2 linked regions of the Saccharomyces cerevisiae S288C genome follow. The protein of the gene in region 1 binds, or shares a complex with, the protein of each later gene. Each region holds a gene or a part of one and is shown in the gene's direction. Other genes may lie near its edges. The genes, in order: RTT103 and RAI1.

Region 1 (3,924 bases):
GCAGAATAACCACCCCTGTAAGACATGACTTCTGTAACCAGATCCTCACGCCCAGTTTCAATAAAAATATTGCGAACTTCTTTCATCAACAATTCACAAACACGACGAACGTAGCAAAATGCTATGGTTCTTACGTTGTTCAATATCAATTGTACCAATATCTTTGCACTCTCTCTAATGAAATTTTCTCGTTTACGTTCGTGTTGAGGTAAAATTGGAGGATTCCACACCACTAGATGCTTAGCACCTGTAGGTGAGCCATCCTCGTGTATTAGCGTAACCTCATTAATTCCAAACATGTCCTTCATATGTTGTACTGGAGACTTTAAAGTTGCAGAACATGAAATAAATTGTAAACCACTATTTTCGTAAAAACAGTGGCACAGTCTTAGTAAACGTCTCATCACTAATGCCACGTGCGATCCAAATAAACCCTTATATATATGCAATTCATCGACCACCACTAACTTTAGATGGTACAAAAAATGTCTCCAATTTGCATGATTAGGTAAAATGCTGGTATGTATCATGTCAGGATTGGTAAAAATAACTCTAGCATTTTTACGAATATAAGCTCTTTCCTCTGGCTCCGTATCGCCGTCATACGTATCAACCACGGCATTCTTTAGCTCGGGGATCTTTGAAAGTATTACCTTGAATGCTCTTTTTTGATCTTGTGCCAGGGCCTTTGTTGGAAATATATACATAAACGTTGATTCAGGATCCTTTAAAAGAAGATCGATAGCTGCTAGTTGGTAAATAAGGGATTTACCTGAAGAGGTCGATGTTGTAATAATGACGTTTTCGCCTTGATGAAGACTGTTTATCGCATCTGCTTGATGGCTGTAGAAATTTTCGTGTTCCATACCCTGATATACTTCCGGTGCAAGCTCAAAACAGAGACCTTTATACTTCGCTGTTCTTGATGGTATTGTAAAACAATGCTTTATCTGAGAAGCGTAGAATTCAGTACTTTTTAATTTCTCAATCATTTGAGGAATTGTTGTTATCACTGAATTATTGGAATAATTGGGAATGCTCATCTCATTACTTTCTTGCTTCGCCTTCATCATTGCCTCAATAGGATCCTCATAATCTCTCTCCCTTGGAATATATTTCTGCGCTAGATTTGTTAACTCAGAAAATGGGTCAAGGTTAGCCTTTTCCTTTTCCAGGATAAATTCCCGTAGTCTGGATTTAAAGAGAGCTTCCCTTTTAGAAATCATCTTTTTCATTTCCTCCGTAGTATATGTTGGTATCTTTATTTGAGAAAATCTATCACTTGCAGACCATGAGCGTTGCATTGTACCGTCTATAAATTCAAATATAAGTAACTGAGTAGATTTTTGAGTCTGATTTTGGTCATCAACGTCCTTCAGTTCAAATATGTCATTTTCCTTCTGCTGAAAGCCGCCATTATTGAAGTCAAAAATCTTAGTTTCAGTATAAATTTGGTTCTCATCAATATACTTGAAAACACATTCTCTTGGCATTAGCGCCATAACCATGGCTAGGTCTTCTTTCGTCACAGTTCTTTTCAAAGCAGTTTCTATAGGTCCACAAAGTGTTTTAAATGTAGGCACAACATGCTTTCTGCAAATCAAAAAGGTGTAAAGAGTATTAAGGCGGAAAAAAAATTGTTCAAAATTTCTAAAGGCATCGGTCTTTCCACTCCCTTGACCTGCTGACTTCAGTTTCTTTTTGATAGGTCCTTCCTCCATTTTTCCTTCTCAAATGAACATTTCTTTTCTACGACCTTAACCATCTCAATATGTATAACGGTTCTGTTTTATAACGAAAAATGAAAAAGTTATTTTTTTCCTTTAAAAATATATAAACTTGAAAAGCCAACATAATAATATAAGTACAAGCGAAGAAGGTTTTAACGAAGAGGTAGAAAATTTGAAGAAAGCAATAATCCAAGATTAAAATAGACGGTATGCCTTTCTCTTCTGAGCAATTCACAACCAAATTAAATACGTTGGAAGATTCCCAAGAATCTATTTCCAGTGCCTCAAAGTGGTTGCTTCTACAGTATAGAGATGCTCCCAAAGTGGCAGAAATGTGGAAAGAATACATGTTAAGGCCTAGTGTAAACACAAGAAGGAAGTTATTGGGTCTTTACTTAATGAATCATGTTGTTCAACAGGCTAAAGGTCAAAAAATTATTCAATTTCAAGATTCCTTTGGAAAGGTGGCAGCAGAAGTATTGGGAAGAATTAATCAAGAGTTTCCGAGGGACCTAAAAAAGAAGTTGTCAAGAGTTGTGAATATACTAAAAGAAAGAAATATATTTTCCAAGCAGGTAGTCAATGACATAGAAAGAAGTCTTAAAACCGAGAGCTCACCAGTGGAAGCGTTGGTGTTACCCCAGAAATTGAAAGATTTTGCTAAGGACTATGAAAAATTAGTGAAAATGCACCATAATGTTTGCGCGATGAAAATGAGATTTGACAAATCATCAGATGAATTGGATCCATCCAGCTCAGTTTACGAGGAAAATTTTAAAACAATAAGTAAGATTGGGAACATGGCTAAAGATATAATAAATGAATCAATTCTAAAAAGAGAAAGCGGTATCCATAAACTGCAAAGCACACTGGACGATGAAAAAAGGCATCTAGATGAGGAACAGAATATGTTAAGTGAAATAGAATTCGTTTTATCTGCTAAAGACCCATCCAGATTAAATAAAAACGTTGATGAAGACAATATTATTCCTACGTATGAAGTGGGGGATGGAGATGACGATGACGATGATGGTGATAATGATGATGATGATGATGATGATGATGATGACAAAAATTACGATGATAGATCCAATGACAGCAATTATGGCGTTACTAATATTAGCACCACAGATAAGAAGAATGAAGTTGTAGAAAAGACAGATAGCGAACATAAAAACTCTACTCATAATCCTAGTGACAATCAATTTGGTATGAAACGAACACATGATATGATAGGTCATGATGACGCTAATGACATACCGGAAAAAAAGGTTCATCTTGATTCGAAGACGAGTGAAGATGGTACTTTCAACAGTGAGGATGGACATTATGAGTTAGATATAGAAGGCCACGTCGGCGCCCAAACCGACGAAGGTGTTGAGAATTCCGGAGGGGTTTCTTCTAGTATACAAGACTTGTTAAGTAAGCTTGCAAATTAATATGATGGTTGAGTAAAAAGAAAACAAGGAGATAACTTATACAAATATATAGTAACCCGTTTAAGTCCAGTCTTTTTTCGTAACTATTTGCCCATAGTTTATTTCGTATTCATCTTCACTATTTCCTCGACAAAAAAGATGCGCACCTAAACTACATGGACACCTATGCAATGCTATATAGAATATGAATCGCCAATGCTTTTTATTATATCATCGTGCAAACTTTTAGTCTGCTCCTTTTCAAGGCCCATGATTTCTTGCACCAATTTTTCAAGAGACTCTAGTCCAAGCTCAGCCTGAGTTCTTCTACCTATCCTGTATGATATCACTTCCCCGTCGGTATCGGATTTCTCCTCCAATCTGACTATATATTCGCGCTTTTCTAAACTTTTTATCAAATCTTCAATAGTAATGTTCAGTATAGCAATCTTTGAACCATCGCTTGGAATGCCAAATGTCTCTAGAAATTTGATCAATTCCTGATGTAATATGTTATTCTTAGAGAAGAAAACAATGCATAAAATGACGCTCAAAACACCCTTGTAAACAAGATCTCGATCTGTACTCAACTTGCTTTCTAAGGTATTGGAAGTTCCTGAAGCTATATCGTCACCAATATACTCTCCGGTAACTATTAGCTCTTCATAAGTGTGAGCGCTTTGTAAAATCTTGAAATCGTCAAAATTTTTTGAGTGCGGGACATTGTTTAGCAAGATAAATTTCTGGGCTCTATGTCCCAGTGGCTCAGGCATTGA
Region 2 (3,726 bases), on another chromosome or scaffold:
CAGATCAAGTTCCATTCCAAGTTAATGACATTTCTGGATGGACCTTGGGATAAGACGAAGTTCCTCAAACCTTCGACAGTCATACCTCTTCTTCTCACACCCCTGACAGTTGGGAACCTTGGATCGTCCCAATTTCCGACCAAGTCCTTGTCAACCATCCATTGTAACTTTCTCTTAGACAACAAGGTTCTAACGAAATTGATACGAGCGAAATCCCAAATATGGACTTTTCTCAAACGCAAAGCTTGTAACATCCAATCATATTGAGCGTTACGGTCTCTATATTCAATGGTACGTAAAGCGTGGGTAACACCTTCAATAGCATCAACAATTGGGACACAGAAATCATAAGTTGGGTAGATCTTCCAAGTTGATCCGGTTCTGTGGTGAGGGGTTAGATTACATCTGTAAATGACAGGATCTCTTAGAGTCTTGTTCAAAGCCTTGTAATCGATCTTGGCACGAACACAGTTCTTCAAACCTTCTTCAGTACCGTTTTTCATTTCTTCGGTAAAAATTCTTAAGTTCTCTTCAACAGAACGATCTCTTCTGGCAGAAGCAACACCATCCATACGTTCTTCTCTCATCTTTTCAGTTGGAGTGTCGTCACAGTAAGCTTTACCATCCTTGATCATTTGAACACAGTAGTCGTACATTTCTTGGAAGTAGTCAGATGAGTAGGTTATTCTATCACCCTTGATTCCTAATAAATCCAAATCTTCCAAAATAGAGTCTTGGAATTCTTCCTTTTCCTTCGATGGGTTGGTGTCATCGAATCTAATAATCAACTTACCCTTGTAAGCTTGAGCAAAATATTGGTTCAACAAGGCAGCTTTGGCATGTCCAATATGTAAGTATCCAGAAGGTTCAGGTGGGAAACGAGTGACGACTTCACCCATTTTGGCATCTGGCAAATCAATTTCAAAGTTAGCCTTGTGAGTTTCCTTCTTCTTACCCACATTAGCACTTTTCTTTAATTCTAGTAAAGATTTGCTCAAGAAATCGTGAGCTTCGCCGAAGATGGGATCCATTTCTAACAAAGTGTACCAACGAGAAACGTTAACATCAACCTTGTTCTTGATGATGGAACCGCACATACCATTGGATCTTAAAGCACCCCAACATGCTACATCAGCGGCAGAATACTTCAAGCCGCCAAGAATAAAGGTTCTTAGGTTCAATTGAGAATCTAGTGTTTCCAATGATTGTGATAATTTAGCAAAGTTCTTGATAACTAATTCCTTTTGGGCCAGATTAACCCATTTAGCAACTTGCTCTTTATCACCATTATCGAAGATGGCGGCGAATTTGCTAGTTATCTTGTTGAAGACATCTTCAGTAGCATCATCGAGCTTGGCAGCAGGTGCTTTCTTATCGTCCACCAACTTAATAGCTATGGAGTTAGGAGCTAACGCATTCACAATACGAGCAGCAATTAGTTCAGCATAAGCCACAATTGGGGCTTTTCCATTAATAGTCAAGGTAGATGGCATCTTGATCCCTTCTATGCTTTCCTTAACCTTTGAAAATAGTTTCGTCATTCTTATGGAAGTTATCTTCCATTTTTTTCACTTTATCTTGCTTTTAACGAAGAAGAAAAAAAGAGTAAGCATTCGGGTAAATTGAAAAATTTACTTCGAGAATATTAGGAACAGATGAGGTCTGGTAATGTTACTAATACTTCTGTAATATGGTGAAAGAATAGCGAAATATTAGACCAACATAGTGTATCCCAATGGGTGTTAGTGCAAATTTGTTCGTAAAGCAAAGAGGGTCGACAACAGCTCTGAAGCAGCCAAAGGAAATAGGATTCTATTCAAGAACTAAGGATGAAGAATATTTAATTAGCGATGATACGAATTTGAATTACTACTATCTTCCAGACGCTGAATTGGACAGGAAGTTGGATCTTTCATCAGGATTTCAGAAATTTAAGGATTATTACAAAGATTTTGAAGACAGGTGTTCCCTGCGTGGGCTATTAGAAACCATAGAAAGCTCTGAAAGACATAAAGGAAAAAAAATTAATGCTGATATAATTACTTTTAGAGGAATAGCACGGAAATTAATTTCATGTGCATTTGACTCTCCATCTTTTAATACAGTTGATCTTCGTATCGTTTCATTCAACGGCCAACTTTTTATCAAGGAAGTGCCTGAAGCTGTCAATGCAGCTAAGGCTTCCTCTGCAACTGAAGCAGGGCGTAATATAAATCAAGATCTGAATGTATTTACAGGGTACAAGTTTGAAACTTTGGCTACTCTTTCCAATCCGTTGCAGTATACACCCCGTGAAGTGATAGAAAAAAGAACTAAAAGGATTGTATCGCATGGAGATGAATACATTAGTGTTGTGAGAACTGGTGTAGGTAACTGCAAGTTAATTCTTGGTGCTGAGGTGGATTGTATATTTGACTTTAAAGAAAACGGTAGAGACAATTTAAAACATTATGCCGAATTGAAATGTACGCAGCAAGTTGCGAACATATCGGATACGCATAAGTTTGAGCGTAAACTGTTCCGGACCTGGCTGCAATGCTTCTTAGTTGGGATCCCAAGGATCATATATGGTTTTAAAGACGACCATTATGTATTAAAAACTGTGGAAGAGTTTTCAACGGAGGAAGTACCTGTTTTATTAAAGAACAATAATCCACAAGTTGGAAGTGCATGTTTAGAAGCCATTAAATGGTATGGTCTCCTTACTGAGTGGCTTTTGAAAATGATACCAAGAGATGAGGATCCTCATTCTCAAATAAGAGCATTTAAGTTGGTTTTCGAAAATAATCACCTAAGATTATCCGAAATTGAAGAAAGTGATGAGGAATATTCAGGTTTGATTGATGGAGAACATATATTATCGAACGGGTTTAAGGAGTGGAGAAAATCTTTGAAATAACAATATTCCTTTATGTCTTTCCTGCGCATATCCTCATCGACGTATGGATCTAAATAATATAAATGTGCAGATTAGATTAAGTTATATACACTATGCATGGCGAACCGATTTTGTATCTTTATTATTGAGATAAACCCTGTATGATCCGAAACTCGTATTGGTAACAAATATTATACCTATTATGCTAATTAAAATGAAAAGGAAAGATCGTATACTGAACGCTTCAAAAAAAGCATTTATTACCTCCGCCAGAGTACGAGCCCATGCTTTAGCCCATTGGTAATCGGAGCCAGACACTATTTCCTTGTTCATACATTTTGACCATTCATTGCAACGTACCTCCAATGCTGGAACCCTCATATGAGGTTCGCACTGGTTTTCAAAATACCTTGATTTGCAAGTTGCAATTTTATCTAATTCTTCCCTCACGTTATGCTCCAGTTTTAAGTTAACATCGTTTCTTATCATCAAAATGAATTTAATAGCAAGAGACAGTCCTATAGTTCCTATAATAAAATTGAAAAAAAGCTGTATATACTCCGCAATTAAACTTGGGCTCAACCAAATGCTTTGTCGGGCTAATCTAGCATCTTGCGGATGTTCACCTTCCAATACTTCCTCCCTTCCCAATCTTGGGTTAGCAAGTATGCCATCAGGCTGTCTAGAAAAACTACGGAGTTCCATTCCGGGACTTATGTTGGGATAGGGGATTCAAAGATGAGTCTACATAAGTTAACTCATCAATAATAATGGAAAGAAGTTTCATTAGTTACTACTAGTATTTTGCTTGCTCCCGGGTAATGAATTTTTCCGCTTTTCATCTACGT

The links.
Region 2: the proteins of RTT103 (region 1) and RAI1 are in contact, whole or in part, in a cryo-EM structure (PDB 9FMS), measured with the Saccharomyces cerevisiae proteins. Residues at the interface, in NP_010575.1 of Saccharomyces cerevisiae: Asp257 (codon at 2,708), Ile259 (codon at 2,714), Ile260 (codon at 2,717), Pro261 (codon at 2,720), Thr262 (codon at 2,723), Tyr263 (codon at 2,726), Glu264 (codon at 2,729), Asp267 (codon at 2,738), Asp269 (codon at 2,744); in NP_011268.1 of Saccharomyces cerevisiae: Thr16 (codon at 1,781), Ala17 (codon at 1,784), Leu18 (codon at 1,787), Lys19 (codon at 1,790), Gln20 (codon at 1,793), Pro21 (codon at 1,796), Asn98 (codon at 2,027), Arg208 (codon at 2,357), Lys215 (codon at 2,378), Trp265 (codon at 2,528), Cys268 (codon at 2,537), Phe269 (codon at 2,540), Gly272 (codon at 2,549), Pro299 (codon at 2,630), Val300 (codon at 2,633), Lys303 (codon at 2,642), Cys313 (codon at 2,672), Leu314 (codon at 2,675), Ile317 (codon at 2,684).

What each region holds. Positions count from the first base shown.
Region 1 is NC_001136.10:1,037,525-1,041,448, reverse strand, and holds RTT103 (Rtt103p), read left to right. Parts: upstream 1-1,939; coding exon 1,940-3,169; downstream 3,170-3,924. Other genes in the region: HRQ1 (ATP-dependent 3'-5' DNA helicase), read right to left, coding at 1-1,721; Smc5-Smc6 complex subunit NSE3, read right to left, coding at 3,343-3,924. UniProt on the Saccharomyces cerevisiae protein: Involved in transcription termination by RNA polymerase II and in regulation of Ty1 transposition.
Region 2 is NC_001139.9:36,790-40,515, reverse strand, and holds RAI1 (decapping nuclease), read left to right. Parts: upstream 1-1,735; coding exon 1,736-2,899; downstream 2,900-3,726. Other genes in the region: glutamate--tRNA ligase GUS1, read right to left, coding at 1-1,493; BRR6 (Brr6p), read right to left, coding at 2,990-3,583. UniProt on the Saccharomyces cerevisiae protein: Decapping enzyme for NAD-capped RNAs: specifically hydrolyzes the nicotinamide adenine dinucleotide (NAD) cap from a subset of RNAs by removing the entire NAD moiety from the 5'-end of an NAD-capped RNA.